2 linked regions of the Oryzias latipes genome follow. The protein of the gene in region 1 purifies or fractionates together with the protein of each later gene. This does not show direct contact. Links are inferred from orthologs where the notes say so. Each region holds a gene or a part of one and is shown on either strand. Other genes may lie near its edges.

Evidence for each region.
Region 2: the proteins of ankrd46 (region 1) and atrn purify together in Homo sapiens (co-immunoprecipitation; 3 studies listed by BioGRID and IntAct, with this or other methods). This does not show direct contact. The link is inferred for Oryzias latipes from reciprocal best matches to the Homo sapiens genes ANKRD46 and ATRN.

The regions. Positions count from the first base shown.
Region 1 is NC_019876.2:21,533,668-21,550,542, reverse strand, and holds ankrd46 (ankyrin repeat domain-containing protein 46), read left to right. Parts: upstream 1-9,256; 5' UTR 9,257-9,375; intron 9,376-13,928; 5' UTR 13,929-13,960; coding exon 13,961-14,271; intron 14,272-14,513; coding exon 14,514-14,672; intron 14,673-14,803; coding exon 14,804-15,020; 3' UTR 15,021-15,388; downstream 15,389-16,875. Other genes in the region: collagen alpha-6(IV) chain, read left to right, coding at 2,250-2,364, 3,663-3,923.
Region 2 is NC_019880.2:22,423,517-22,440,291, forward strand, and holds part of atrn (attractin), read left to right. Parts: intron 1-239; coding exon 240-324; intron 325-522; coding exon 523-746; intron 747-2,692; coding exon 2,693-2,814; intron 2,815-3,471; coding exon 3,472-3,610; intron 3,611-5,696; coding exon 5,697-5,893; intron 5,894-7,414; coding exon 7,415-7,622; intron 7,623-9,541; coding exon 9,542-9,727; intron 9,728-12,213; coding exon 12,214-12,459; intron 12,460-12,727; coding exon 12,728-12,865; intron 12,866-13,330; coding exon 13,331-13,424; intron 13,425-13,676; coding exon 13,677-13,729; intron 13,730-16,775. UniProt on the Homo sapiens protein: Involved in the initial immune cell clustering during inflammatory response and may regulate chemotactic activity of chemokines. May play a role in melanocortin signaling pathways that regulate energy homeostasis and hair color.

The sequences.
Region 1 (16,875 bases):
GGTAGCATTTATTGTTGGTTCCTCAAAATCTTTCTGTCAAGCATTGACTCCAACTCAATGTTCAGGAGCAAAAATAAAGAAAATACAACAAGAGAACAGATAAATCTTAACAAGCATTGTGCAATAAATTCAGTTATTTTTTCCATGAAGCAGTATTGTTGAGCAAAGAGGCTAAACAAAATATAAAGAAAGTTATCAAACCAAGACTACATTTAATTATTTAGGATAATTTTAATCAGATTTAGTCCAGATTGTTACAAGAAGGCCAAGTTGTCCTAACTGGGCTATAAAAGTGACCAATAGGAAGGGTTTTTAGTATGATCCCCATACTGAAAAAGAAACTGCATCAGTATGGAGAGGAGAAGTCCCTCTGACAGGCAGCAACCTGCAGAATAGGACTCAGTTCTCTGTAACGGTGGTTCCCAACCCTCCTTCCATTCATGGGACTGTTTATACCAACCCGCAGAGAAAAAAAGCTTACCTATATTTTTTTTCGTTTTATTTACAATCTGATTCTGAAGGAATTTTTATTTTGGATAACTACTGGCTGTCATATCGTTTGTTCACGTTTTGAAAATCCATCTGCTACTTTTTTACAGCGGCTGCACCGACCACTAAACGAAAGCCCCCAAGCTAGCAAAGTCAAAAAACTAAAAAATTAAATGTCTTTGAAAAGAGCCAGGGAGGAAACAAAAGACTCTTAGATTTCAAAATAAAAGAAATCTGCATTTAACAGACAAAAAAGCAGGAGTCTTTACTCCAAATATGGTTTTATTGCAACACACCGTAATCATAACACATAATGTTCAATAACTGACTGTCCACTTTTGTGAGGATGTTGCTAATAAATTTGCTCAAACTGTGAATTCATGTTTATCATGTTTAGAAAATACCAGTTTTAGCAACATTTATTTGTAAGTTTCCATGGCACCTTAAAAGTCAGCAGTTAGGGCTTAAGCTACGGTCACATATACAACTGCCACCAAGTGATGGGGAAGCATCCGCAGAATCTTCAAGTTCAGCCGCCGCCGCCAGATTTCTCTGAAAATCGTTGGCCTGGTCATAAGGGCCCCCTTTCACCATTCTTAGTGCACGAGAAAACATGTGCAGCGGACAAAATAAAATTATATGCTACTGATATGCATAATTATTTGTGTATGTAAATATTTTTTTTCCTCCCTCCCCTTAGTTTCACACGTTCACATAAATGCTCAAACAAGTTCATCCTTCCTATTTCAGATGCAAATATCACATGAGTTGTGCTCGCCTGATTTATGTGAGTAGTTTGCAAATAAAGGAGAAAAGGACAGCCTCAGAGTCACGGTGCATGGTGCGTGCATTTGGGATGGGTTGTGTTGGGTTAGACGGAACATTTCTGCCCCCAGACTACCACAGTACTACCTCCAAATGTCAACAAATCATCCGATTGACCTTAGAACCTAACCAGGCCACTTGCAGGCAAAGGCAGGGGACACCCTGGACAGGTCGCCAGTCTGTCACAATCACACATCCATGCACTCTCACATTTACACCTATGGACAATTTAGATCAACTTATCCCATGTTTTTTGGACAATGGGAGGAAGCTGGAGTCCTCGGAGAAATGCCACACATGGGGAGAACATGCAAACTCTACACATTGATGTTCTGTTTCAGGTGCCCCAGCTGGGACTTGAACCAGGGACCTTCTTGCTGTGAAGCAAGAGCGCTAAATACTGCGCCATCGTGCATTAGTTTAATTAATTTGTGTATTTCACAGTAGGAAGATAAACTTAACCCTCAAACGTTAAGGGAGACTGGTAACAAAACAAAAAAACACTTTGACCTTGTACAGACCAGTCTGTGAAAATTTGTCTGACACTATACCTGTCATTGGGCTGAAAAAGACTGGGGACCAGTGTTCTATAGGGTACAGGAAAGGGACGGACAGAAACGCAGGGACAACCGTTCATAGACAAAAGAAACAACAAGTGAGGGACTACAACAATGATTTCTCCATTTAGGATTAAAAAAGAAATCATGTGTGTGGAGGCATGTGAAGGAAAACACCTATTTCATCTTAGAATGACCCCTCCCCTCCCAGCGTCTACGTCTGTAGCAGCACAACGACCACCAGCTTTATCATCAGCTTCACCACAGAAAGTTTGAAGGCTTAAAGATAGACGAGGAGTTTGTTCTCTGAACTTAACAATCAGTCGGTGTGTGGAACGTTTCAATGAGACATCAAACCTTTTCGTTTGAATCCTCCAGATGTTCAGTATGTGAGGCACCATCTCAGGCTGTGGCGGTCCACAGTCAGGACATGACCATCCCCATGTGCCCCCCTGGGTGGAGAAGTCTTTGGATTGGATATTCCTTCTTGATGGTGAGTCCTAAAAAACTAAACAGGAGACAACTTTTGATAAACACAAATGTGCTTTTGTATCTTCAATCTTTTAATCACAGATTAGAATAAAAAATAGATTTGATTTACACTTAGAAAAATATTAGAAAATATTAATGTAAATCTAAATTTAAAAAAATAGTTTAAACCTGATAAAAACCTAACCTACAACTGGCTAAATCTTTAATCAACTTTGTTAATCTGATTTTTTAATTAAATCAATCCTAAATCAAACCTAAAATAAACTTAAGTCAAATCTGATTGAAACCTAATTTAATTGGAACCTGACTTAAATTAATAATTGATACTTTACTGATCCCACAATGGGAAAATTCTTCTCTGCATTTTGACCCATCCCCTGGGGGAGCAGTGAGCTGCAGCCTAACTGCGCTCGGGAGGCAGTAGCGTTAAGGGTCTTGCCTAAGGGCCCCCACTGGGTGATGTTAACTGCTCGCCATTGATATGGTAATTTACCCAGTACCATTGTTTATCCCCCTTCGGGAATTGAACCCTGGACTCCTGCATGGTAGCCTCTCACCTTACCACCCGAGCTACCCAGCCGATTTGTTCAGACTTTATCCAGACTTTCCTAAATTTCTATTTCTACCTGAAACTAATCTGGGACAAACTTGACTTTAACCTTAGTCATTTTTGGCATTACCAGTTGTCTATAAAAAAAGCTTAAAGGTCAACTCCAACGAAAATTGTGTTTTTGGTGTTTTTTACATGTTCTTGTAGCTTTTTTTTGATGATGATGTACTTCTATAGGTAAATTTAAGCTTAAAATTGCATTTCCGAGTATTTTCTTTATTTAAATTGCGGTAAATCAGGAGCAGATGTAAAAATGTCATGTTACAATCCTTGTAGTTGAGATGTAGAAAATACGTTGGGTGGGCCACAGGTTTTCTGCTCTGCTCCATTTTGATGCATCCACTTCTAGACAACGGCATCCATGAGCCTTAGTTTTCTGACTCAAAACTATACAGTTGGATACCTCAAATATTGCTCACTATTTTTGTTGCAACGCCAATGTTAAGTTGGGGTAGTTAGGGGCTGTAAGTTAGCGTGAGAGCGTTTGAACAACGGGACAGTCCCGCCCACAACTCAGAGTTTCTAAAAACCATGTTCCAGAAAACTACACAGGTTTTTTTTATTTGGTTAAAAAGGCATAAAAAGATGATCAGAGTAGGACTTTAAAATAGCGATCATGTTACATCATGAAGACTGTGAGAATTTATCAGGAACTAACTTAATTGTGTGTTTTCTTGTCTCGACCACAGCACACGGCGGCTGGTGCAGAAGGCGGCGGTCAGTCCCTGATGTCTCCCGGCTCCTGCTTGGAGGATTTCCGCGCCACTCCATTCATTGAGTGCAATGGAGCCAAAGGCACATGCCACTACTTTGCCAACAAATACAGCTTCTGGCTGACCACCGTGGATCCCAAGCGGGAGTTTGTGTCTTCACCAAACCAGGAGACCCTGAAGGCGGGCCAGGAGCGCTCCAGAGTCAGTCGCTGTCAGGTCTGCAGCAAACTGCTGTAGGCATAGCCATGGGGGGACATGATAACACTTTCAGAAAAAAGACAGGTGGAGACGCTGGTGAACGGGATCTTGTGACTGAAAAAAATGAGCCCCCCCACAAACAGTGAATCTATGAAAGAAGAAGCCAGAGTGAGGAAAGACGTGTTTGCATCTTCCTCATTATAACTGATTATGGTGCTATTCTCCCTCAGCTTTGACTTCAGCTGGCCTCTGTTTTCTTTCCTTCTGTGTGCTCTGTATGCTTTCCCCACCTGAACTCCACTCCCACTTCATGTTTATTAATTGTCAACTTGGTTTTGATTGTATGCTTACATTGGGAACCTGCTGTCAATCGTACATGAATTTCTGTACACGTGTTAAATAAGGTTTGTCTTTAAACTATACAGACAAAGAGTCCAAAGGTGTTTTGGATGGCTTTAGGTTCACCCTGTTCCTTTAAAGCAGCCAGACAACATGAGAATCTAATTATCACAAACACAAAAACATATTAATTTCAACCTGTTTTTTGCAAAAAAAATAAAGTCTCACTCAAAACTGGTATGAAGTTATATCAATCTCACACAAACCTAGTTTCAACTTCAATTTAATCCAACCTCATCCCATCTCAAAAACATGAGATTAAAACATAATTAAAATCTCACTTAAACCCGACTTGATCTGAATTGCATAAAATTCAAACGTGTTTGACCTGAATTTAATCTAACTCTAGTTTAAGTCAAATCTGGTTTATATCTAGTTAAATCTAGATATAACCTCTGGTTCAAACCAAAAAAACAAATGCAGTTCAAGCAAGATAAATCTGGTTTAAACTTGGATCATTTTTATTCAATCCTGAGTCGAACCTGGTTTAAACCCAAATAAAACTATATTCAAATTAAAATCTGGTTTAAGTTTTTATTAAATTTAATGCATACTTGGAAAAAAAACTATTTAAACCTGAATCAGACCTGATTCAAACCCAAAACAAATCAAATTTAAACCTAATCAAATCTGGTTTAAACTTTAAAATCTTTTAACTCAAATGCCAGTCAAACCTAGTTTAAACCTGACAAAAACCCGGTTTAAACCAGAATTTGATAAATAATATATCCTAAATCAAACAAAATTCTAACTTTAATTAAATATCTCAGTCTTGAGTCAAACCTGGTTGTAAACTGAATCAAATCTAACCTAACTCTGCCTCTGAGTCAGACTAAGTACTCAGAGATCACTTTCTGAAATGATGATGATGATGATGATGATGATGATGATGATGATGATGATGATGATGATGATGATGAAATGTCTGTACGACCAAATGCCTGTTGGCACATTTCCCTCCTAACAGATCCTGTCTACAGTTTATCCTAGCACAGTTACCTATTTTCAAGACTGAAAACAGGTCAATTTTTACCCGGACACAATACAAGAGCTGAAGAAGAGGAGCTGAATACCTGTTGTTTTTTTGTTTGTTTTTTGTGTGTGTGCCTAACCATTCAGATCTAATACTTATCTGATGTTCCACCTCCCTGAAATCTAACCAGAATCATATCTCTGTAAGGTCATGCAGTAAAAACTGAGTTTTCTTGACTCGGACTAACCCCCTGACTGTACTGATGTTGAGCCTCAGCTGATTCTGCCCCTCCCCTTTCTGCTTCATCCACACACTGACTTTAATACCAACAGCTTCAGTTTGATCTCTGGGTTTCTCTGCTTCTGTGTTCTCACTGAAGAAACTTTCACTTTTCGCGGTTTCCTGAGCGGATTTAAATTCTCAATAAAGTCATTTTTCAGTTTGTTTACTCTAAATAGACCTTTATGACCTTATGACCTTTTTTGACCACTGTATCTGTGCTGCTTCTGAGGTTTCAGCCTTTTTTCCTGCTCAGTTTTTGTTCTTTTGTAATCTAGAATGTAATTATGTGTCTGATGTCATAATATCCCGCCTTATTTACTGCTATTGGAGGGAATAGAATGAAAACTAAGTGTAAACATGGTAAACATGAAACTATAAAGAGAAAAATGCCTCCAGGATGTTTTTTTATAAAATGTTTGAAAACTATATCAAACATAACAATTTTCATTGTCTGTTTAACGCCACACTCAGAAACAAATGTTTTATTCAGCAGAATCCTGAAGAAAGAGATGCAGTTTTCCTCAAAGAGGATGTATAAGAATTAAAATACAATGAATAGTCTTGGCTGCTGTGTGTTTTGTTTGGACATTTTTTGAAAAAAGCTGCAAACTACAAGATCCTCCACATTCTTACTTTGAAAAACTGATAGGATTTTAACCTAAAATCCAAAGTCAGAAATAACCATTGCTGAACTTGATCGATCTACACACCAGATTAAAATGGTATCTAACCAAAATCTGACATTTCATGATAAAGGCACCCATTTCATTTTGACCTGTTTCTGTATCTGCATCTACAGACCAGAGTTTTCCATCAAACAAAATATTTGGTTGAAGGCCATAAAGCATTCAGCCCACTGTTTTCTTGTTTCTCTTTAGCCTTATGCTATCCTAGGCACTTTAACGTTGGGAGTTGGGTCATCTAGACCCACTAGACAGTGCTCTGAACCTTTTTTCTTCAATGATTTATGATCTTCACTGGTGTCCATGGATTACATGAAATCTTTCCACCTTTATCCACCTTTGTCATGGTAGGGAGAACACGTCAATGTGAGGGTGGGGTCATCTAAGATAGCACAAGGGTTATTCCTTTATCATAGTATCTTCCGCCATGTTTTGCTGCTTAACTCCTACAATTTTTTTTTGTTATTTTAACCATTCAGCTATTAAATGTTCAGCTATTTCCAAGTTATGAAATTTGGTCCTTCAAATCCTTGAACTTTTCAAGATATTCCAGGATTTCCAGGATTTTTGCCTCCATTGAAATACATTGGGAATCCTTGAAAACCTTTTCTTCTTTCCACCAGTATAACTTCAACATACTTTGAGCTAGAGACACCTTTCAAACTGCAAATTAATCACAATGTTTTAAACTGATTCCAATTCTTTCAATTCTTTCAGATTTTTCAAATATGTTTTAGGTTTTTTTTATGTAAACCTTTAAACTTTGTGGTATTTTAAGCTTTATACAGGTTTCAATGGGAGAGGCATTTTCACCAAAGTTCCCCCTGTTAGAAGCTTCTTATTTTGGCATTCTTTCAGCTAGAGACACCATTAAAAAGTTAAAATGCTCACAAGGCTAGACTACAACGTATTTTTGCCAGTTTTTCACGAATTGATTTCAAACTTTTATTACTTTTCAACAATCTCCCCTGCTTTGGCGTGACGTCATACGCTGTGCCAGTCGACGGAGGAAAAAAGCCTTCAACTTTTACAAACAAAGCCTCACATCTAGAATGTCAAATCAATCCAAATAAGAAATATATAAAATCATGGGAAGTTTTTTTTTGGCTTTTCAAAAATGTATTTTTTGTCAAGATGTTAGTTTTACTTTTATTTTAAATCATCCCAGATGCCAGACAGTAGAAAAGCCGTAGAGTCGCTGCATCACTAAATGATCACAAACAGCTGTTATCTGTCCTGTCCACTGTATCCGTTTGGTGGCGTTGTGGCATGACACGTGAGCTGTGGTGCACAACTTGTTATTGTGCTGTTTTAACTTTATTTATGGTCAACTATGATCATTTATTTAATTATTTATTTAGCCAATTATTAGTCTTTTAGTTTAATTTCATTTACCAATATAGCATTCAACCATTCTAGTTCAGGGGTCACCAACCCTGTGCCTGCCGGTGCCCATGCGCCCCCGAGCAGGGATTGCTCCAAAAATAGCACTGCTCATATGGCAAATAATTATATTGTGGCGATCTGGGGGTTAGCCTCGTCTTCAGCTTTTAAGACTAATGGGAAGTGGGGAATCTCGGGTGTGTTAAATCGCTCACTTAAGTGAGGGAGCTGTAAGCGGAAGTGAGGTTAATGCTGTTTGGCTGGTGGTGGGTGTTTTCAAAATAAACGGGCAGATTTGATTGTCCACTAACTTGTGAGTGTCATTCTCAACAAACCGGGGTTGTGCTTTGCATGGGCACGGGTAGCAGATTCGGACATGTCCAGTTGGGCCGCTACTAAGTAAGAGGATAGTGACTTAAGACTCGGGCGCAACGGTACTTGCCTGGATAGTAGAGGGTGCCGATTCAGTGCTTGCTATTAGTAATTGTGGCACTTTATTTCTGCTGTCATGAATTATATGGCAGAGTATGGAACGGCCTGAACCTTGCGAATTGGCTCTCCCGCCTTTGAGAAAGAGGCGTGTGTGTGTGTGAGGAGGAGAAGGGGAGGGGTAGTGGGCGCAAGCTGCGAGGTAAAACGGCGCACAGAGACCATTGCTCAACACCTGGATCATCGGGGGGCTTAAATTACTCAACTCATTCTAACAATGTCATTCTTCACTAACTATTTTCTTTATTTTCCATATCCATTTATTTTTATGGTTGTTTAATTGGTGATAGTAACATATAAAAGACACCAAAGACACACACAGGACCAGAGACACACACAGGACAAAAGAAACACAGGAAAAAAACATGGTCCACTCTGGCTCAATGTCACCAGCCTCCCTTGGTACCCGTTTGAAGCACTCTTTGGGAGTTAAAGACTCCCCTGATGGAGGGCTCAGCCAGACGTTCCCAACAGACCCTCACGGTACTTTTAGGTCTGCCAAGTCTTTCCAGCCTCCTTCCCTGCCAGAGAATCCAACTGACCATCAGGTATGGATCGGTGGAGAGCCCTGGTCCTCTCTTTACCTGAGTGTCCAAGACTCCTGCTGAGGGTGTCCTGACGCCAAGTGTATTGATGGACACCCTTGTGCTTGAACATGGTGTTCGTTATGGACAAACTGTGATGAGCACAGAAGTCCAATGATAACACACCACTCGGGATCAGATCAGGGAGGCCATACCTACAGATCACACTCATCCAGGTGCCATTGTCATTCCCCCGTGGGCATTGAAGTCCCTCAGGAGGACAGTGGTGCTCATAATTCTTTAAAATAAATACTTTTTTTGGGGGGTTTTCTACCTGGAAAAATTTGATGTTTATTTTTTATGGACAAGTCTTTTATTTCATTGCAGAAACGTTGTTTTGATAAAAGTCTTGGGAACAAAAGCAAATAATTAATACAAAATAAACAGTATTGTTTGACGCTCTTTGTTTGCTTTGCTGTTTAGTGGCACTCTTACCACTTCTAACATGAAAAAACACATTTTGATGGAAAAGGGAACTGTCCAGAACTCTCCAGCATTCCCTCTGAGAGGATTAGTTTGTGAAATGGAAAACACCAAAAAAAACATGAATGTTCTGCTCCGGTCCAGCAGGTGGCGGTGTTGCACTAAAATGCGGTTTGGACGCCGGTAAAACCAGACAAGAGTCAGACAGGATTAGCATCTCAGCAGTGTCAGGCAACGGAGAGCTGTTTTTCTTCTGACTTGGATCCTCAAAACAGGTGAGATGCGCGGACAAGGCAACAGCTTTGAGTCGAAAGAAAAATTTGCTCTCGGTGTGGGTATTGAAGCTCAGGTTTGAGCCCTCGGTTTGAGTGGTTCGTAAGCAGTTAGCTCCCTTAGCCTTAGCTCCCTAACATCTGGATCTTTTTCTCTCGGCGATGACGTCATAAAACAGTTGTTTATTTACGCTTCCACCTATTCGCATACTCACCTGCCTGTGGTTAGTTAAGCCTACTTACAACACGTTAGGTTCAGGCTATTTTTTAACCCGGCTATCGGTGTTAACTAGTTATTCTGCCTGGTTACCACGTAACTGGTTAACAACTTTGTAAACAAATTAGATTGATCTACAAACACTTTTATAAATGAACTAACAGTTCTTGTTGTGACTACATGGCACAGCATAACACAAACGAAAAGGCAAAAGAGAAGATCCTTAATATTAAAGATGTTCAGTTAGAACACACACTCTTTTAGTTGCAGTAATTTAATAACAAAGCAGAAATCGATACATGAAAATTGTGTTTTTAACAAGTCCTTGGTATTTTTCTAACAGTATATGATAAAAAAATCATCATAAAATTGCATTTCTGAGAATTTAAAAAAAATGTGAATCAGAAGCATAAAAAAGCTGTGATTGTAGATTGTTGGTGTGATGTAGAACCTACAAAAGCATCACATAGAACCTACAAAAGCATCACAGAACCTACAAAAGCATCAAATAGAACCTATAACAGCATCACATAGAACCTACAAAAGCATCTGGTACATCTTCGTTGTCCTCCTTTGAACTGGAATCTGGCTCAAAACTCTACGGCTGGATAGCTCCAATACTGCTGAAGTTATGCTGGGGTGTGAGGGGGGGTTTGTAAGGATCTACATGGATCTAGGTCTACAAGTGGATGCTCCAGAATGGATGCTCCAGAATGGAACAGAGCAGGTCTACCTTCACGCCCATTTTTTTTCAAACCGCATTTTTCCATCTGCTCCTGATTCACAAATGATCCGAAATGCAATTTTAAGATGAATTTCCTTATGTATGTCCTCCATAATCAGGAAAAAATGCCACAAGAAAAAGTTAAAAACATAATTTTCATCAAAGTGGAACTAAATAAACCAGTTCTGCAACTGGTACCCGGTGTAAGAAGGTTAAAACAGACGTGATGCGGGCATTTCTCCTGGTTCTGGTTTAAACTGACTGCAGTTTTCTGAAGACTGTTCCAACCATCTGCCCCACAGGAAATGAAGGCATGAATCGGTTTAAATCCAGACATCAAAACTCAGAGTCTGTGACTGAGATGGAATAACGGATTTACAGCCACCCCACTGGCTTCCGGTCCAATCAACAATTTTTTACACAATCCTTCTGCACACCTTTAACGCCATCCACGATTTCTCCCTTTCCCGCCTGTCTGCTCTCGTCAAAGTCGTCACACTTTCACACCTTAGCTCTTCATCCTCCCTTCACCTGACTTTACCCTTACCCCGCCTCAGCACCATGGGGGCTTGGCCAAACTCTGGAACTCTTTTACACCAGATTTAAGAGTCTTTGTCCCTCTTCAAATCCAAACTCAAAACATATCTGTACAGGAAATCACATATTTCCCACCTTCTCACCGTTTCTGTCTTTCTTCTCTGTTTTTTTTATCATGTTTTATCTGTTTTATTTGTACAGAAATACCAACCTTGGACAATCGACAGTTATGGACCCTTTTTACTCTTCCCCTACAGCAGTGTTTTTCAACCAGTGTGCCGCGGCACACTAGTGTGCCGTGGGAGATGGTCAAGTGTGCCGTGGAAAATTGCCCTCATTAACTGATCTAAAAACATTAACCATCTCCAGGAAATCAGCTCTTTGTTCATCCAAACATGTCCTGATAAAACACTGAGTAGTTAGGAATATAAACGATCATAAAATACTTTTTTCGTTGTGTTTATTTGATTCTATTAAAGACATTTTGATAAGAATGACGGTAACGCGAAATAGCTGCAGCTATAACTGTGTAAGGAAAAGTCCCGCAGCTTTTACTGTCTCCACGACTCCACCAATCATTCTTGAAGGATTAATCACGTCATCAGTCTGACCAATCAGAAGTGGTTAATTTAGCTCATAACTCAGTCAGTTCCGACAAAAACACCAGCTAAAGCTCGTCTATAGCGGTGGAGCTTTCCACAGAATCCGGTATCAGACCGTGGAACAAGTGAACAAAACCATGAAGCTCAGAGACGCGAGTCTTTCTGCCGTTTTCTCGCAGTTTTCACACTACATCTCCCATGATGCATTGGCTTAAAGGGACAGCGTCTTGAAAACACAACGAACATACAGTTTGTATGTAACTTAACTTTTATTACATCTTTTAGAAAAACATCTGCAACTTCCTGCTTTTTCTGCCACAATTATCACAAAAATGCACGTCAGATTGCCGGGGGGGGGGGGGGGCTGTAGATCAAAACAGACTATGAGTTTCTGCTTTTTTTTTTTTTTTTTTTTTGGGATGCTGGTGTGCCGCGGGATTTTTGTCAAGGTTAAAGTGTGCCGTGGCTCAAAAAAGGTTGAAAAACACTGCCCTACAGCATTTCTTTATTATAAAAAAAAATTTTTAAAAATAAAAATAAAATAAAAATACAAAAAAATATTTAAAAAAAGTAAAACAAATGATTAATCACTTATTGAAAATTGTTAAATTGATTGACTTTTGATGATATTACTTCACTAGCTCCTAAAATTGATAAATTGATTCAAAAATCTTTCCTAATGTAGCATAACTTTGCACATGTTTTTAACTTTTGATACTTGATGAAATTTTGCTATGAAAATTCCTGAAACAGTGTTGTGTCTATTTTACTGATATAGTATTATGTTTTAAAGCATATGAATGACTTTTAAAAGTAACATAATTTGCATATATTTCAGATGCTGCATTTGCCATGTTGATTTCTAAAATAGTTATTTTTGACGTAGTACTTAAGTAATTCATCTTTGGCATGTGCTTTATTGATACCTTATGATTGTTAATTCTGTCTGATAAAACCTAGGAACCGGATATTGATAAATCATGTAATAAAATGGTTATAGTATAACGGGGTGGGATTATATAAGTTCGCTTCTTTCCACTCCCTTTCAAGCAATATTTATTAATTATGTCTAATTATCCTAAGTTTGATTAGTTACTGTATGAATGTATAACTGATGATTATATTGTTTTTGTGTATTATTTCTATTTGATTGCTTGAAATAAACCATTTCAAATCAGAAAACAAATCAGAAAAAAACAGTGGCCTTAAGAGTCCTAAAATGTATTAGTATTATTATTATTCCACGTGACACAGATACTCAGCTCTGAGTTTGGCATGACTGTTAAGATTGATCTTCATTCCTCTAAAAATCACTGATCTTCATTCTTTTTTTCTTGTTCCCAATAACAGAGACTTCTGTCTGTCATTTTTGAACTCAATAAAGTTCATGTAGGAGTTCTGCTGCTCTGAGCAGCAGGGAGTCTGATAGACTATGATGGTTTGGTGACAGTTACACAAAGCTGAGTGTCATCTGCATAACTGCATTAGAGAGCACGATCAGACCCACAGGGAGAACCAAGGCTCCATGAACGAACTTTTTGCCATGGTTGCATATAACTGCACGGTAAGTAGGCTGGGTGGTGTATTCATGTCTAGTTTCCCAAAGGTCTATAATAGAAAGACTGTGGAAGACAATGGCTGGCAGTAGTCCGATTGTGACAGACTCTAATCCAGTTTCCAGTATTTCATGCTGTGATTAATAGCCTAACTTTACTGCACTTAAAACCACCAGTGTAAAAAGCCCCGCCCACTGTTCATCAGAGGTAGGCAGCACCGAAACTGATGATTGACCACAAAACTTTCACTGACATCATGTTAACATCAGCTGTTGATGGGGAGCAGCTTTTGAAGCATTCTGCTCCCATGTCAGATGTTCTTGATTGATCAGCAGAGGAGCTCTGCGCTGTGGTTAAGGGAGAATCATAGTGATGCTGTAATATAATTCATCCTAATTTGCTGCAAGACAGCTTTTGAATAATCTATAGATCCTGTGGCCTTGATTTTTTACAAGGTCAAACAAAGAGATGGATCCAAACTTTGTACAAGACTAACCCAGATGTTCCCTTTCACTTAAGAAGTCAGAGTTGTCGTCCTTCCCAATGTCTTCTTCTGTGTTCCATTTGCACTGAGAGTGGACTGGAATATTTAGTAGAGTGGAAACTTCTGGAATGGGACGGGGGTCTCACAGAAGCTTCACAGATGTTTGCAGAAGCCTTAACCCTTGTGCTATCTTAGATGACCCCACCCTTACATTGACGTGTTATCCCTACCATGACAAAGGTGGATAAAGGTGGAAAGATTTCATGTAATCCATGGACACCAGTGAAGACCACAAATCATTGAAGAGAAAAGGTTCAGCGCACTGTCTAGTGGGGTCTAGATGACCCAACTCCCAATGTTAAAGTGCCTAGGATAGCACAAGGGTTAAATGAGTTGCTGAGGTTTCTCATCCCGTTTCCCGCTTGTTTTCCTGCAGGTACGCTGGAATTTTCTGACACCCACTCGGACATGTCCTATGTCTTCATCAATGACTCGTCGCAGACCAGCGTGCCCCAGCTGCAGGCCTGCATCGACGGGGACCTGCCTTTCGCCAAGAAACTCCTAGAAACGGGATGCGACCCCAACATCCGCGACAACCGTGGCCGCACAGGCCTGCACTTGGCTGCGGCGCGAGGAAACGTGGACATCTGTCGCCTCCTGCACAAGTTTGGCGCTGACCTTCTCGCTACAGACTACCAGGGGAACACAGCGCTGCATCTGTGCGGCCATGTGGACACCATCCAGTTCCTGGTGTCCAATGGACTGAAGATTGACATTTGGTTAGTGGCTCTCTGTCATCGCTGCTGTTTGTTCCACAGCATAGGAAGGATTCAAACAGAATCCTTTACAAGCATGTCCGTGTCTGTGGTCACTCTCTAAAACCAATGTTTCATTTGGTTACAGCAAAGGATTGTGGGATTGGATTATGGCCCATTTTTACAGAAAGGATGCTGCATGTTTTTATTTTTTTTTTCAGTTTGACTTACCCTCCCCTGTTTCTGTGTCTAATCCCTGGCTTCAGTAACCACAATGGCTCCACCCCCCTGGTGCTGGCAAAGAGGCGGGGCGTGAACAAAGACGCCATCCGCCTCCTGGAGGGTCTGGAGGAGCAGGAAGTGAAGGGCTTCAACAGAGGGGCTCACTCCAAGCTGGAGACCATGCAGATGGCTGACAGTGAGAGGTAATGGGGGTGCATGACATTCAGAAGTGTGTATGTGGGGGTGTCGCATCCATGTGCACAGAGTTCAGTGGTCATGTGACCTCATAGGACTCAATTTCTTTGGTCTGAAGTCTTTCTTCTTCTGCTGCCAGCGCCATGGAGAGTCATTCCTTACTGAACCCCCACCTGCAGAGCAGCGAGGGGGTGCTGTCCAGCTTCAGGACCACCTGGCAGGAGTTCGTGGAGGATCTGGGCTTCTGGAGGGTCCTGCTGCTTCTGGTGGTCATTGCCCTCCTCTCACTCGGCATCGCCTACTACGTGAGCGGCGTGCTGCCCTTCTCCAGCAGCCAGCTGGAGCTGGTCCACTGAGGAGGAGGTGCTTGCTACATCTGCAGCTGAGGTTCTTCTGGCACCAGATTGACATTTATTCCCCAGACCTTCGTCATCAGCATCATCTTCATGACATTCTGGAGAACACCCACCCACTTGATCTGTTACAGACTGATCTTCTGCCCCCACACCTTGTTCTCCTTATTTAACTGTAGTTTTTTTTTCTGGATGTTCCCAATAACCTTGCCCCCCTCCCCAAGCCTTTGTATCTGCATCTGTAATAAAGGCGTTATGCTGTAGGATTTTGTCTACCTGTCGCTAGACTTCCATGTCATCACAGACATTATTGATCCTGCTTCTTGTAAGAACTGAATAAATATGGATGTTGTAGTGGCGCTGGTCATTTCAGAAGAATTTACCGTTCATTGTATGAACAAAAATGATAGAATCTATGAGGAAGTTAAAATAGAGGTTTCAGCTGTGCTGCTGCTCAAATCCCAAAGGAACTTTGAGGCAGAGATGAGATGAAAACCACTTGAGGAGGCAAGGAGGCTACATGACAGACGAAGGTCACATGGCTGCTGAAGGCTGTACATTACAGGACGGCTGTGGTGCCGCAGTTGCGCAGTCGACCCCTGAACGGAAAATTGTAGGTTCAATTCCCGCCTTGTCCACCCATGTGTCTAAGTGTCTTGTGCAAGACACTGAAGCCTACCTTGCCTCTGGTGGAAGGTTGGCGCCAGTGTTCGGCAGCGGAGCCGCCACCGGCGTGTTAATGGGTCTGTGACTGTAAAGCGGTATACAAGTGTACACCATTTACATTGTTATACCTTTTCTTTTTTAAACTTGTCCTGTCCAACAGCTGAGCAAACAGATGTGAGCTGAAAGCCTCTTGTGTTGGACATATTTTACTGTTACAATAGAGGTTTATGAATCTTCTTATTCACAAGGTTTATATTTGCATAAACCCCTTTTGTAATTTAGGCCACAACTTTATTTATATTGTATTTGTATCAGTTGGATTAGATGGAAAAGAGGAGGAGGGAAGAAGAGAGGGATGTTGGGGAGGGGTAAGGGCACAAAAGGGAGAAAGGGGGCATAAAGTAAATAGGAGGATGATTATAGAAGCGGGGGTAGAATCATACAGCAACAAGTTGCTGGAAGTTTATAATCATTACTGTCGGGTGCAAATGTTAGTCCAAAAGGGGCGGGGCCTGTCCACGCACACTTAAATTTTACAAACACGCCTCTTGGCTCCAAAACTCTTCATATTGTACATGTCAACACGTACACAATACAACTACAGTTCACACACATACATATGCATACAAACCATCACATGTAAAGCATTTATCATTCAGTCATGTGTACTATTGTGCAAAGGTGAGCTAACACCTGTCCTCTTGATGGAATGTAAAAAGAGGAAGGGCCCATTCACCTCCACACCAAGACCCCCGCCAAAGCAGCAGTAGTAGCCAGGAACCCCGACACCCAGGTGGTATAGCAGATCGAGGAAATCCACCCGCAGGGCAATCACATCCCCCACCCAGACCAGGGCCAGACCAAGGGGACATGCACTGTTCCACTTCTGAGATCAGAGATCACCTTAAACCCCAGGGCTCAAACGCCAGGCCTGTGTCCTACATGATTTTAAATTAATCTGCTAATGAAGCTCCTCACTGGCTAAACAACCAGATCCAGGTAATCAGCAGCAGACGAGGCAGGATTTCTGAAAAACCAGCAGGAGGCCGGGAGTCTGAGAGGGCTGCTTAAACTGTAGACTGCTGTCAAGCAGGGGGCCTTTGCTTTCATGAAAGAGCCTGACAGAAGATCCCAGGAACTCCTTTGAAAAACCTTTAATAATAATTTAATAGTAAAAGTTTGTAAAAAAGAG
Region 2 (16,775 bases), on another chromosome or scaffold:
CTTTTAGCGGCTCTGTCTCCACACATCATGTGTAAATTTGAAAATCTTCCCCCAGAGCTGAAGAGTGTTTTTTTGTTTAACATGTGCCATTTTCCTCCTGAAAGTGTGGCTCCCTCAGACCTTTGGCCAAGGACACATTCCTGATTCAAGACGATGACTTGTTACTGGTCCTCGGGGGAAGCCGAGCTTTGTCACTTCCGGGTCAACGGGCTGACCTGTGGACCACTTTCTCTTTGCAGCTTGTGATGAGTGGGCCGTTTTGCCTCGACCGGACCTCTACCATGACGTCAACCGCTTCGGACACTCTGCAGTGTTTACTGATGGGTAAACCTTTTCACTCCACTTCAGCCAACAGTGCAGAACTTTACCTGAAAAGGGGATACATCTCACTTAAAATATCTTTCAGATGGGCAAAGATTTATGAAATTTTGGATTGGATTTAAAATGGAAACAAGAATTAAAGTTATTAGAATTTAAGCTTGATGTATAATTAATTTCTCTCTCTTCTCTTTTTTTTTCTAGAGTCATGTACGTGTTTGGAGGCTTTAACAGCCTCCTCCTCAATGACGTTCTGATGTACACCTCACCCAGCTGTTCCGCCTTCTCCAGCGCCGTGACCTGCGCCCAGGCCGGGCCTGGGATCCACTGCGTCTGGAACGACCCCCAGAAGGCCTGCCTGCCTTGGGAGGGCAGCCCTGCCGGTCCCAGTCAGCAACAGCTGCCGTCATTCTGCAACATCAAGTCCTGTAGGTGAAGCGTCATACTGAGAATAGGCTCTTTCTCATCTGATAAGAGTTCAGTGGATCTGAACTAAACTGGCACCTGGCTGTGATTGCTACCGTACTCTGATCGGAGTTCTTGACGTACCGATGACCACTACCGATGTCATTTAAAAGAATATTTGTTTTAAATGGTTGCCAACTAGTTTTTATTCCTCCTTAAAAGAAATGATGTTCTCAACCCCTGGAGAATAATTATGAAGTTTGTCACAAATACCGTGGTTTCTGCAATACAGGGCACAGCATGAGGAATGGTCTGTTTTTGAAATGATGTCATAAGGCGAACTATATGGCACATTAAACAAGACAAGAGTGAGAGGGCGTATTCACACCTGACACACGTGGTTCGCTTAAAGTTAAGCAGGGTTCGTTTCCCCCAATAATCCAGAAGAATTACATCCAAGTGGACCCTGGTCCGGACCCAGGAACCGCTCTCTGAGCCGTCTTTGGAGGTGGTCTCTGTTCGATTTCAATCGGACAACGCTCCGGTTCGCTTTGACTTTCCTTAGCCTGAAAACAATCTGTTCTCGGAGTGGAACAGCTGAACCAAAACAGCCATGGTAGCCGGGCATTATGGGATGTAAACAGAGACAAATGTGAATCAGTGATGCAACAGCAACTCTTTAAAATGTGGTTGGACGAATGCAGGCTCATTAAAACAACTTTGAACGTGATCCACATTGCTTCTCACTGTTTTCCTAACAATCTAAATGTCATAAACACTTATCAGCGTACCGTCTTAGCGGCTGTCTCCTCAGTAACCGCCTTGCAGCAACCCTACACCGTACCAAAGTCAAAAGTGTTGACTTTGATACAGACGCTCAAAATTTGTCGGCCAAATGTAAACTATAACTAGTAAACGAGGATTGCAAAGCGCAGCACTTCCCTAATTTCTGCCTCTAGTTGCTTTGCCCCGCCCTCGTAATTCCTGGCCAATGACTGAGATCTTTAGTCACATGGTTTTGCTAACAGGCTTCAGTTCAAAACTGAAATCTCCGGTAGACCCCAGTCTTGAATACAGATATAACACAAGGTTCAGGACTCTGTCCGGACCAGATTAAGCAGACTCGGTCTGGACCAACAGACTTTTCCAGTCTGAATACGCCCACAGATAACTTTGTCAGTCAGTCAGACTTAATAAACTGCATTCACTGTAATTGTAGAACGTGTTCGTAACATGCTACACGTCAGCTGTCGCTACGCTAACTCCCAACCTTAATAATGGATTGGATTTATCTGCGCTTTTTCCAGACACTCAAAGCGCTTACAGTGTGTCCATTATTCATTCACTCCTCATTCATACTTGGTGAGGGTAGCTATGGTTGTAGCCTCAGCTGCCCTGGGGCAGACTGACAGAGGCGTAGCTGCCAGTTCACGTCTACGGCCCCTCTGACCATCACCGGGACATTCATACACATGCACACACTAGTGGAGCCACACTGGAGGCAGGGAGGGTGAAGTGTCTTGCCCAAGGACACAACGACAGATGTTAACCTTGTTAGTAACACATAATTTTTTTTTTTTTTAAACAGTCAGACACAGCTACACGTTAGCTGCTATAACGTATTCACAATAACATCCAACCTTGTTTACAGCAGAAGTAGTCCATATGTAAGACGCTTGGGATTAAATATTTCTGAACAAAATAAAGGCTTTTAGGTGCGCTTATAGTTTAGGAAATACGGTAAATTGGAGAGATTAAAAAAAATGGCCTGGATAAAATGTCTCTTCCTCATGTTGCCCTTTATTATTTTTCATTTTGTTAGTTCCCTTTAAAACATTAAAAGTCCCCCACTTCCATCCTGCTGTTTTCCTGTTGGCGTCAGAAGTCAGCTTGTCTGTGTCTGCAAAGTTATGCTGTTTTTTCTTCAGAATAAAGCAATGATTGAATATGTTTCCTTTAAACATTGCAGATGCTGATAACGAGCGCTGTGATCAATACACTGACTGCTACAGCTGCACCGCCAACACCAACGTCTGCCAGTGGTGCTCCGGCAAGTGCCTCTCCATGGGGAGCAACTGCACTTCTGCCACGGTGAGTTTCCTCTGAAGAGTCCAGCTTTGACCACGCCGAGGCCTTCAAAGATCCGGAAGAAGAATGGTCATGGGGAAAAATATAGCTGCCACTTTTCCTCATGACCAGATGCTTCTTCAGCCTTGGAGCTCCAATCTCTTTACAGGCTTTAATCAACAAAAAAGGCTTTCTTTCTCTCTAATGGACAAAGCACTGTCGATGGAGAAGCTTTGTTTGGGAGGGTTTTTGTCACCAGAGAAGCACTGTAGTAATAGGCTCATATTCCATCTCAACATTTCAATGTTTTATAACCAGCTGGACCCCACTGCTGAGCATGGTATGATAAGGATAATGATATGGGATGTCTTGCAGCATTAGAGCCTGAACGGTGCAACTGTGAGTCAGCATGAAAAACTGGGTGTTCTGGAAAAATCCAGTCTATGTATGTGAAAAAAAACCCTAAACGATTGGATAATGTCACTACAAATTGACAACAAACTGACCGGAAAACATCAAATGAAGGTGTTTCAAAAGTCAAAGCCCGGGTTTAAACCTGCTGAGGTGCCGTGTTGGGACTTTAAGGTCTGCCTGAAGGCATTTGCTGCTCAAAAAGCCCCACAGGTGATAAGAAAAGAACCACATCTGTTGCCTGAGGTGTTTTCTGCTCTTCCCTCTCAGGGCTCCATAGTAGAATATGACGTCTGCCCCAAGGACAGTCCCTTATATGTGTGCCAGAAGAAAACCAGCTGCAAGAGCTGTTCCGTCGACCAAAACTGTCAGTGGGATATTCGCAACCAGAACTGTGTGCAGCTGCCAGGTAACTGCATCCATTAAAAAAAACCTTTACGCTTTTGGGCAGAGCACATGCACACAAATATGTTCTTTTGGATTGTGAGGTTAAGTATGAAAAAAAAAATGCAGATAAATTCAACATTTCAAATTAATGAGTTCATGGCTGAAAAACCATCAGAAACATTGGAGGCTAAATGTGGGACATTCATGAAAAATGTGAGAATCTGATGGCAAGAGCAAAGCTAAGAACTTTTAAAAAAAGGTTACCATAAAGTCTGGCAAAGTACGACAGAGTTTTAGGGCCAGTTTACAAACAATATATTTTTTTTTATTACGACTTTTAGGTCGTAAATTTAATACTTAAAAAAAAGTCAGATTAACGAGGAAAAACGCCAAAGCTGTCTTTTTATCCTAGCTTAGCTTGAAGATGAAAAATGTGGAGCGTTTTCTGCAGCGTTTGAAGTGGACAGCTGCAGGGACACGGACGTCTTCATCAACGGATGCAGAGATCCTGCAAGCCGTCCAACAATAAATAAAACATGAATATAAATATTCAGCTCACCTGTTTCAATTGTGTTTAGTGGGTCTGCTCTGCTGCTGCCCGGCGTTCACTTGCTGCTCTGTAAGATCACTTCCACTTTAATCTCGTAAATCTACGACTTTAAATCTCAAGTATTTGTAAAAAAAAACTAGTAAATCTATGAATTTAAATCTCGTAAATGTACAAGTTTTTTTGTTGTAAATTTACTACTTTAAATCTCGTAATTTTACTATTTTATTTTTATCTTTGTGGTGGCCCCAAAACTCCATCGTAGCAGATTGAATTGTTCTAATAGGAATATTTAGCCGAAATTTCTCTTCAATAAAGTTTAACTACCAAAAAAGTTGGATCTTCAAATGCTTGAACAATTTCAGAATCAATCGTCCATGTGAGATATATGTGACATCTGCTAAACTGTCAGTGTAGATGAAGAAATCTTCATGTGCGGGGTACAAGACAGAATGGTTCAAATCTGGAGACATTACAGCATTATAAAGAGGCATGACTGTAATAGAAACCGCTGTCTGTTTGGAGAACGCTGCATCTGTGACAGAAGAAACACATTTTTCCTGCAAGGATCTAACTGCCGGACCGTCCTGGATGCAGTCTGAGCCTTCACAACATGAAACCTTTTAATGAGCGCCACGGTATGGTACAGCCCATTTGGAGCGTTTCCATTATTAAATGGACCCATTAGGCCACACCATTGTGGGCCACTGTTGGTTGAAGGTGCATAGAAAAATGGAACGGACCGGTGAGGGCGGAGCTACAGTTGAAACCCGTTGATTGGCTTAAGGTCATTACGACAAGAGAACGCTCCAAGAAAGCGTCTGTATTTCTCTTCGCCGCCCGCAATCATCTCTCAAACAACATTAAATGCTTTGTAGATACGAAGAAGCAAACGATGAGCTGCTGGATGACCTCCATTGTTGTTCTTGTTAGATTCACTCCGAATGCGCCACGACGGTTCCGGCTTTGAGTAAAAACGCTCACCTTAAATGCCTGGACCATTCTAACCCGGACTGGCACCGGACGGTACCGCTCAGTGGAAACAAGGCTTTAGGGTCCTCCTGCTGGGTTACCAAACATGAGGCCTGGTGTTTGAGGAATGGAGGACCCCCCAGTGGGGGGAACACCACCCCATTCCAGCTTCAAGAGCTTTGTGCTGCTGCCATCAAGTCCAATAGGAGAGACCTTCTTTGAAATCTTTCCATGTTCTTTGATTCTGTTCTGCGGTGTACAAACTACAGCCATATTGTTGTACAGCATGAAAGGCTTTTTTTAGTGAATTAGAACTAAAAAACTTTACATGATTATTGGATAGGATGGAGAATGTCAGCTGTTATAGCGCAGCGGACACATTTCTGATTGCAGATTGAAGCTTTAGGGATTTTTTTTATTTCTAAATCGATGGTCTCAAGGAAATCTCTATGGTGGAAGAAATGATGTTACTTTCAGGATTACACCTTCAAAATAAAAGCTGGAGCTTTTGCCACTCCACTGATAGGAAAAACAATGTTTTCTTTCTCTTTATAAAGTTGAAGGAAAACAAAAAAGGAAATCTTTACAGTTCTTTCTCTTCCAGAAAATGTGTGTGGAGAAAACTGGCACCTGGTCGGCAACTCCTGTCTGAAGTTTATCACAGCGAAGGACACGTATGACAACGCCAAACTGGCGTGCAGGAGCCACAACGCCCTGCTGGCTTCGCTCACCACACAGAAGAAGGTGGACTTTGTGTTGAAGGAGCTGCAGAGCATGAGCCTGGTGGTAAGGATGGAGACCAAGGCTGGCATTGAATGAAATTCTGTTTTGTCCTCAGGAGAATTGGTGCCATCAGATAATGAGAGAGTCCATGATGTAAAAATACTAGATTAGCTGAACTATCATTGCTATCTTGTTAAAAATGAACCAAAACATTTAGGAGGGAAATGTTCAGCCATCATTTTACCAATGTCTTTCTTTTATTGTATTAAAAGGATATTTGTCTTGTCCTTTGTTGAATAGTATGATACGTCCTTGGACTGGACGGGCCTTAGTTAAGACCGCATGTTTGTGAGTTAAACTCTGACGTGATCATTAGATCTTTCTAACTATTCTGTCAAATAGTCAAGCTTTACATCTGGAAGGGTGCAAAAACGTAACATGTTATTTCAAAAATACTTTAGTCGAACTTGAATGCAGCTTAAACACTACTGAGCACAAAAAAAGGGGCGTAGTTACCAGTTAATCAAAGTTGGTCAGACAATAAATTACTGGCTGGATTGTTGAAGGGAACATGGGTGAAAGGTTTGTTTGCATGATTGCAAAAACCCAAGAAAGGAGTCAATAAGTCTTCGCCCATTGGCAGATTTTCTCTAAATGAGCAAAAAAAGAAATCTGCCACTGTGGTTAGAAAAATGGTCTTACCAAGGAGAAAAAAAGACATTTTCTCTAAAGATTATTTTCCTGGGGAAAACCTTTTGAAACTAATTTGTATTTTTAGTTTCTAAAAATTCCGTTTTTGCCTTGTAAACTCCCATCTACTGTCACGACAAGCTCATGAAGATTCTTGAGAAGGTTTTAGACTTTAGCCATCAAGTTTTGATGATTTATTCTTGTTTACAAACACCTTGGTTCTTCCAGAACAGGTCCTAAGGTCTGGATGCCTTCAGACATCAACCTAACACAAGTGGATCTAGTAAAAATGTCAGAAAAGAACTGTTATTCCAATGTGCAACTCTCTTTAGCATAATGGAAAAGCTCACTAAAACAGACAGGTTGTTTGGTTCTGGGCAGAAAATGGAGGACCAGGGGCTTTCTCTACTGCATTTGTGTACGGCTTCTGAGTTGTTGTCGTCGTTGGGTTTGTAACCTTTAGAATAAATGCATCATGGTCATGATGTAAACATAAAGATTGTGTCTGTTTCCTCAGAGTTGAAGGTAATCTGCTGTGGAAGCAGTTGAAAACATTCTTCCTGCTGGTTTAGATGGACTCCATTGGGGCCGATCCGCATTTTTACGCATTTTCTGGCTCGATTGATAAGATTGATAAGAAATGAATTCAAGCTCTAGAGAGTGAGCTTTTTTTGATCATTGCTACATAAATGGATAAAGAATGACTGCTGTTGATGAAACAACAAAGTGTTTTCTGCTAAAAGAGGAGGTTTCTGTGGTACAGACGTTTCTCATGGATTTGGTGGAACTGAAGTGCCCACGCTAACCCTTTCCATGGACGCTTGACAGGTGATTTTGGTGCTGACGGATGCCCAAACCTGAAAGCAGTAAACCCTTTTTGTGTGTTTCCATCAGTACACGCCGTGGGTGGGACTGAGGAAAATCAACGTGTCCTATTGGTGCTGGGAGGACATGTCGCCCTTCACCAACACCATCTTGCAGTGGCTGCCTGGCGAGCCGAGCGATGCGGGATTCTGCGGGTACCTGGCAGAGCCAGCACCCAGCGGGCTGAAGGCGCAGACCTGCATCAACCCCGTGAACGGCAGCTTGTGTGAACGGCCAGGTCAGCTCTTCCTTTTTGAATTCAGCTCTTCCTTTTCACGGTTTGGACAGTTTTTCTTCCTACCCACACCGTTGTAGTGTTTTCATGACCAAAAGCCTGTATTTTAGCCGTCATCAATAACCGGACCACCAATGGGCTTGACTATTGTTGCCCGGCATTAAAACAATCTCAAACGGAGAGAACTGCTACTGTCTTCAGTGACGGCAAGAGGACCTGGCGGCAGACAACGGAATGGTCCCCGGACATCGCTAGCCTGGTTGAAGAGACTACAGTATTTTCACGACCATAGGGCGCACTGGGTTACAGGGCGCAGTTATGGATGATTTTTCTGTACAGACACAAAAGGCGCACAGGGTTTTAAGGTGCGGGCACGTTAACACATACTGGTAAAGCATGCGTGCTAGTGTGTGTTTTAAAAAAGGCAGCGGGACCAAACTGAGTTGGTTGGGATTTATTTTTCATTTTTTCAGTCATCAATCAGCATCCAAAAATCCATCAAAGTCCTCATCTTCTGTGTCTGAAATGAACAGCTGGGCTAGATTTCTATCACCCCCGCCGGGTTCACTTCTGTCGTCGTCAGAGTCCGTCTTGTTGCTGTGCGGCTCCCTATGAATGATGCCAGCTTTTGCGAAACCCCGAAGAACAGTGCGAGCAGACACGTCAGCCCAAGCTTCTACCATCCATTCACAGATTGTGGAGTAACTCGCCCGGCGCCGCCTCCCAGTCTTAACAAAACTGTGTTCGCCATTCAACACCGCTCCCACGCCTTTTGCAACCTTACTTTGAAGCTCTGTTCACACTGATGTCCAGCGGTTGGAGTTCCTTCGTCCAGCCTCCCGGAATGACAGTGAGCTCCGAGTTCATTTGCTTCACTTGTTTTTTCACAGCGGTCGTTCCAGTCAGTCTTCCACTCAGACCACCTCGCCTGCGTCATCTTGACTTGTCAGTTTGTTTTCCAGCTTCCTCCACTTGTGAAGCATGGATTCATTCATCTTGAATTCTCTGGCAGCTGCTCGATTCCCATGTTCCTCCGCATAGCTGATAGTTTTCAGTTTGAACTGGGCTTCGTAAGCGTGTCTCTTTGCATTTTCAGGGTTTCCTATACAATGTTGTTCTGCATAATTCACATAGCTGCACTTTAGTAATATTCTGGCTTCTTTCACGTCCATACCATAACTTCAATCAAACTGAATTAGCTGATATGCAGAGAAAAAGGCAACTTTGCGTCGGGAAGCAACACTTCAAAGTGTTTTTTACTGAGATGCGACACATTACGAATATAAGGAGCCGCTTTTCTCTGCGACAGAATATGCTGATTCATTTAACAGTTTTACAAACATGGAACACTTTTGTGAATACACATCTTGAAATGAATAAAGAATTACAGTTTTTTGCTCCATTTTAAGCTCATCTTGCACACTTAACCGTTTATTCACATGAAAAGGATGCATTGAATCTGGGCACTGTCCCGTCTCCGGCTGGGTCCCCCTCGATGAAGGGAGCAGTACACACTCCCTGTCATTTGCTTCATGTTGCAAACCTCATGAAGTTTGACACAAAGTGTCTTCATCTTGCTGTGGAGTTGGTTGAAAAGTTTCGCTCCAACGTCTTCGTGGTCAGACCGTCACTGAACACGCGCTGTCACGGTCTTTTAGGCAGTCGTGGATAACGTGTCTTTTTTTAAACGTCAGTGACTTCTGTCTGAACACTAAAGTAAAACTACTCAATTAATTAAGAATGGTCTTAATGATAAAATCCTCAACTATAAAGGAAGTTCATTGGTGGGAGGGAACAATGTACCTGAATGTATTCTAATATTGAAAGTTTACTGAGATGGAACTAACATGGACGCGGCAGGCGTGTTTGTCCTGCAGGTCCTGGGTGCGCAGAGGAAAACTCTGTCTGCTCTTTCTCTTCAGCCAACCACAGTGCCAAACAGTGCCGGACCCCGTGTGCCATGAGAAGCACCTGCAGCGAGTGCACCAGCAGCAGCTCCGAGTGCATGTGGTGCAGCAACATGAAGCAGTGCGTCGACTCCAACGCCTATGTGGCCTCCTTCCCCTTCGGCCAGTGTATGGAGTGGTACACGCTGAGCACTTGTCCACGTACGTTCTTCTGCTCTTTGGTAACGAGCAAAGCACACCAAAAATATAAAATGTACCTGTGTTTCAACTGAGCTCGTCTTGTCAACTCGAACACATGAAGTGACTACACTGCCATGTATGATACATGAACATGTTTATGAACCGTGTTATTATGCCAGCCCAAACTGCTGCTTTGTTGAAGTGAGAGCAGCTTAATAGAAGCAGACGGTTGTTTGCTGCTCCAGAACATTCTCAACACCCAGAATGAAGGAGATCATCAGTTCAAATGCAGAGTTGAAACCCTAAACGGTCAATGAGAGTAATTGCAAAAAACAAACGGGGATCACCTTCCTTCTTTACAGTATGTTTACACAAAACAACGCCAACGCGACTCAGTGGTGTTTCTCAGTAACACTGTTATTATTGAAATATAAACAGATATATACAACATATCCCCCTAATACATCCGGCTTTTTTTACTATTTATACTCTGTTAGTTAAGAGTTTCTTTGGCGTCTTCCGTCTCCTAGAACAAAGTAGTCTCAAAGATGGCGGGCCCGTAACGCTCCGTCCACATTCAGATGGACAGCAGCTTTTTACCGGTTCAGTTGAATTAATTACCGTAGGAATTACCGATCAAAGGGAAGACCACATGATGTGTAGCTGAAAGTGCCTGCATACACTCAAACGATGCACCCAGAGAAACAGCCGTCATATCTGAAACCATCGGGCCGTGTTGTATTACCAGAAGCGGCAGTGACGGTGTCTTTCGGAGTCTCCTCCCTTTTTTAGCCGTAGTCAGTCACATAAGCGTCACACCGTGACTCTTATCAAATATACACCATTTCTTTTTACAACATAGACATTAGGGCTGCACGATATGAGGAAAACTTGCGATATGCGATATTAGTGATCAATATTGCGATAACACTAAATTTGCGGTAAATAAACAAATAGAAAAATAAACAAAAACATCATTCCCATTTCATTGCAACAGTTTAAAAATTATACTCCAAATGACCCTCATCAACATGGGGGACAAACGTCAGGGTGGCTAACCCTGGTCCTCAAGAGCCTCAACCCTGTCTGTTTACCAATTCTCCCTAGACTGCTCGATAATGATAACCAAAATCAGGTGTGTTCAGTCAATCAGGATGTGAAATCACTTGAGTCAGCCAATCAACAGCAAGCTGGTTAAGGAGAGCTGGAAAACAGGCAGGGTTGAGGCTCTTCAGGACCAGGGTTAACATAATAGACCTCCATCTGATTGGTCAACAATGGGAAGGCGTCCATCTGATTGGTCAAAGCATAAAGGGATTTATTTGATTCGTTAAATGCTTCAAGCTGCTAGAAGATTGTTTTAACTCATTTTGGGTTTGCGATTTATTGCGATATTCGCCGTCTTTTGCGATATGCATATTGCAGAGCTGGATATTGCGATAACGATAAATTTGCGGTCTATTGTGCAGGCCTAATAGACATAGTTGGTCTGCACACATATACATATAAATAAAACTAATATGACATGTCGAACATGTTGACAAAATAATTAAATAGGGGATCCATAATGTGGCTAATTGTGGAATCCAATAACTGTCTGTTTTTCCAACAGTAAAATGAAAATACGATTTATAATGTGGCACTGCTACATGGGGAAGGAAAGAGACTTAGAAATCTCAGTGCCAGTATTTCGGGCAGATCGCTCACCTGGATTTTGACTTAGTCACATGCACCTGCATGGGGATTGACCCATAGGGGGGCTGCAGGTTCTCTGGATTGTCTGGGGAGCCACCTTATCTGGAGCAAAGGTGTCTCTTCAGTTCCCTTAAGGGATGTCCTGAAAATGGAACATATTGTCATGCGTGTGGTGAGAGTATCGTGAACTATTTGTAAGACGGACCTGCACATGGACGCGCTTTAGTAGGGGGACACGTCAGGCACCGCAGGAGTTGATGTAGACGTATGGGTGGGTGATACTGTCGTCCTTACACCACACTCTGGTCGTTAGTAAGGTGTGAATATTGGATCTTTACTGACTCCATGCAAATTCTTCACAAACGGGGTGTGCAGGTACGCAAGTGATGCCTATAGGATGCCTGATGTCCACACTAACTACACTCTGTGGGTCTAATTTCCTTAGCATGCACGGATCACGTGAACAGCACTTTCGGGCTCCTTGCACAACCCGATGGATTTGGCAGGGATTGAAAAAAAAGAATAAATCTGTATTACGCGCCTGAATCTTGCGTTTTTCACCCTTACTTACCCTCAAATGATGTATAAATGTTTACTGTAACTTTTCATCTGGAAGATACCTCTAGAAAACAATTTGCATTTCTCTGTGCGGGTTTTCTAAGCGATCTACTACTTTGATATTTCTTGCGGGTGACTTGCGTGCTCCGCACAGGTTTGCACATTTTTTGGCTAAAAATAAACAAGAAAGATGTTTGCTCTGAAGATTTTATTTTATTTTTTCATTGAAGTGATTACATTCTTTTCTGCTGCAGCGGAAAACTGTTCGGGGTACAGAACATGTGGGCAGTGTTTGGACCAGCCGGGCTGCGGCTGGTGCACCGACCCCAGCAACACAGGCAAAGGCCAGTGCATCGAAGGTTCTTACCGCGGGCCCTTCCAGACCGCCGTCCCGGCCCCCTCCACCCAGCCAGGCCTACCCGCCAGCCCCCATCCAGCTCTCAACTCCAGCATGTGTCCGAGCGAGGCCAAATACGACTGGTCCTTCATCCACTGTCCAGGTAAAGGGGCGGGGTCCGGAGGGTTAGCTCAGATGCTGGTATGACAGGAGATGCAGTCATGCAAAGCAAAGTGCTCTGCACTTCTTCCATCTGAAGAAGTTTGTGACAATCTGAGTGCTGTAGGTTGTCGTGTTCACATGACAAATAACACCCTTCCTGACACGTTTTCATGTCGAGAAAGGTGTTGTGTTTTTTTTATCACATACGCTTCCCAGCTTTTACAGAATGCCCTGCGCTCAGATGCACCGCTTTGTTTCTTGGTTGGCAGCGTGTCAGTGTAATGGCCACAGTCAGTGCGTCAACGAGAGCGTCTGTGAGAAGTGCGAGGACCTGACCACCGGCCGACAGTGCGAGAGCTGCGTCTCTGGATACTACGGAGACCCAACCAACGGCGGCAGCTGCCAGCGTAAGTGTCAGTCTCTGACTACAGCAACCAGTCAGTTTTCCTGCACTCGACATCATTTACTGCGTGGCCTTTTACAGTTCTGTTTAATGTGGGCTGTTTCGGTGAGTCCTCAAATCCTTCCTCTGGGAAGTGAAAGAATTGACAGTCAGTCAACCCAGGAAAAAAAGTAATCACGCCAGCAGGTTAATTGAGCTTCTTGCCTCCATGCTGTTACCGTATGTGAGATGTCATTTCCACCTTAAAACTGTTTTCTCTGTGAAAAACACAGTTTACACAGCAAGATTCCGTCAACTGATGAGCCTGTCTGTAAACCAAGTTTTTTTGTTTTCGTAGCAAACCAACATTTCTGTGTCAAAGTGCCTGAACTCTGTTAGCTCACAATCAAACACAGAGTTTGAGTCAAAGATGGTTTTTATTCCAAGTGTGTGAGCTTTCCATTTATCCCTGCTTCCTGTCCTGTTCCAGCCTGCAAGTGTAATGGCCACGCCAGCATGTGCAACCCCAACAATGGCAAATGTTTCTGCACCACCAAGGGTATCAAAGGAGACCGATGCCACCTGTGAGTCTGATTCCACTGGCCTTCTCATGCTTCACACACTCCTCCATTCTCATCATCATTGGCAGTTTTGAACGAACCTGTTAAAAGAAATGAAGCTGTTTTCTTATAAATATATACGTTCTCGGGGACCCAGGTTATAGCCTGAATGTCTTCACGGCCTGAAGTGAAGCCCAGCCCTTTTTCATCACCTCTCTCTTCCTTTTCTGTTTTTCCCTCTTCCTGTTTCTTCTATTTTCAATTCCTTCCTTTCAGGTGTGAAGTGGAGAGTCGTTACCAAGGCAACCCCCTCAAAGGGACCTGCTACTGTAAGTGGGATTTCAGTGACTAACCTCACTTGAGGCTCTGATGGTTGCCAAAAAGAAAACACAATGAGGTCTGGCTCTGGTCAAAGCAAAGGAACAAATCTGTTTATCAAAGAAAACTCTGTTGAGGTTTTTCAACAAAATGTCCCTCAGAGGAGGGAGTTCTGCAATCCTGCAGCAGAGGAACGTGCCATGGCGTCCTTACAGACTGTTTATTTCAGGTTGATTAATTCCAAACACAAAATACACTGCTCAAAAAAATAAGGGGGACATCTAAAGAACGAGTCAATCACACTTCTGTGTAATCAAACTGTCCAATCAGGAAGCAGCACTGACTGACGGCCAGTTTCACATGTTTTAGTGGAAGTGGAACAGACCATAATAGGCGATCAGCAAAACCCTCCAGTACAGGAGTGGTTCTGGACATGGTGACCACAGAAAACTTTTTAACGCCAACAATGATGTCGCTCCAGCGGTACCACGAGACGCCGTCGACGGCCCACACAGGTGGGGCAGCTCATGCAGGATCTACGTCAATGCGTGCTGAGGCGAGAAGGTTTGCTGTCAAGGTAGTGTCCAGAGGATGGAGGCGCTGCCGGGAGAAAAGCCAGTACATCAGGAGATGTGGAGGAGGGCAACCAGCCGGCATCAGGACCACTACCACCTCCTTTGAGCAAGGAGAAACGGGAGGAGCACTGCCAGAGCCCGGCAAATTGACCTCCAGGGTCTGGAGACGGCGTGGAGGACATTCTGCTGCCTCCAACATCGTCCAACTTGGCAGTTTGGCAGTGTGTCAGTAACAGTTTGGAGCCACAGAGCTCTCTGTGTGCTCTCCAGAGGAGGCTTAAGTGCCAGTAGGCACCAAGATGAGATCCTGGGACTCCTGTGAGACCAGATGCTGATGTGATTGGTCCTCGGTTCCTCCTAATCCAGACAATGCTGGACCACATGTGGCTGGAGTGTGTCAGCAGTTTCTGCTAGCCAAAGGTAGTGATAGAATGGACCAGACCAGAATCCAGCTGAGCACATCTGGGACATCATGTCTCTTGTTTTTTCAGGATGTGTTTTTGTAGTGTTCCCTGTATTCTTATTGAGCAGTGTATTTTACTCCATAATTTGCACCTGGACCAAATGGAAAGTTGTCTTCAAACTCCACTGGTTCTGTAAACTAATACAGTCTTTTAATACAGTGGGACAAAAAGTATTTAGTCAGTCACCAAGTGTGCAAGTTCTACCACTTACAAATTTTGAGAGAGGCCTGTCATTTTCATCATAGGAATACCTCGACTATTAGAGACGACATGAGAAATAAAATCCAGAAATTCACTGATTTTTAAAGAATTTATTTGTAAATTATGGCGGAACATAAGTATTTGGCCAATAATAAACATTCAACTCAGTACTTGTTGTATTGTTAAGTCTTCACAAGGTTTTCATTAACAGTTGCTGGTATTTTGGCCCGTTCCTCCATGCAGATCTCCTCTATAGCAGAGATATTTTGGGGCTGTCTCTGGGCAACACAGACTTTCAACTCCCTCCAAAGATTTTCTATGGGGTTAATATCTGGGAACTGGCTAGGCCACTCCAGGACCTTGACATCTTCTTACCAAGCCCCTCCTTTGTTACCCGCACAGTGTGTTTGGGATGGTTGTCATGCTGAAAGACACAGCCACGTTTTTATCTTCAATGCCCTTGCTGATGGAAGGAGTTTTTCGCTCAGAATCTGACCATACATGGCCCCATTCATGCTTTCCTTTACAGTAGGTCTGGTGTTCTTTGGATGCAACTCAGTATTCTTTCTCCTCCAAATACAACAAGTACAGTTTTTACCAGAGTTGTATTTTGGTTTCATCTCACCCTAGGACATTCTTCCAATCCTCTTCTGGATCCTCCAAATGCTCTCTAGCCAGCTTTAGACGGGCCTGCACATGTACTGGCTTTAGCAGGGGGACACGTCTGGCCCTGCAGGGTTTGAGTCCCTGGCGGTGTAGTGCGTCATTGATGGTAGCCTTCGTTACTTTGGTCCCAGGTCATTCACTGGGTCCCCCGTGTGGTTTTGGGATTTTTGTTCACCATTCACCGGCATTGATTTTTTTTTTTAAACTGGAAGTGTCGCTCAGTATTGATTGGAGTTGACGGCAGATCATGTGACCAATGGAAACAAAGCCTTGTTATGTCGCATCACTTGTTTTAGCACATTGAAATGCGTCAATGGTGGAGCTGTTTGACCCGTGGTTTTAACAAATAGGTGCAGCACTTTAGCCAGGCTTTCTAACAGAGCAAACATTGTTGCCAGTGTGGGTCCCTTGTGATGGAAATCCCGGCTCCTTTTAGCAACTCGGCTGTTCTAGGTCAGTTCACTAAAAAAGAGCCTCTTTGGGCTCTCAAACGGCTCTTTACGTCTATTTTTTGCTTTCTTTAATTTGTTAATATAGGATCATGCACAACATGAATAAATAATGTAAAAGAAAAAAAACAAAACCAGTTATTTACAATTCAACTTTTATTTGCTTACATTTTTATTTCTCCTTTAAAAAAAAAAAAAAAAAAAAGGGAAGCAAATCAACACAAAACACTGGAACCACAATTCAGAATAAAAGTTACATTGTGAAAGCCAAAAAAAAAAGACTCATTAGCATTTCATCTGCTGTGGAGCTGGTTTTATATGGAATTTATTCCATGTACACTCTACACTCTTTTATGATCTTTTATTATATTTAAAAGTCAAATGGTTCCACATTTTGCTCCTTTTCCCAGTACCATTTTTGTGTTGACGCTCCCCTTTCAATTGCGCCCGACTCATCACTAGTGGAGATGATCATGTTGCCAATTGTATATCCAAAGCAAATATTACCATGCAACATATTTGTCACATCAATTAGCTGGCATAGCATTATCCAGGTAAAATGAAAATTACACACCTTTGATCAATCATTTCTCTAAAAGACCAACATAGACTGAGCTTTAAAGTCAGGAGCTTTTGCCTGCATGTGTACTTGGATGCATTAACAACAGACAACCAGCAGATGTCACTATTTCTTACTTAAAT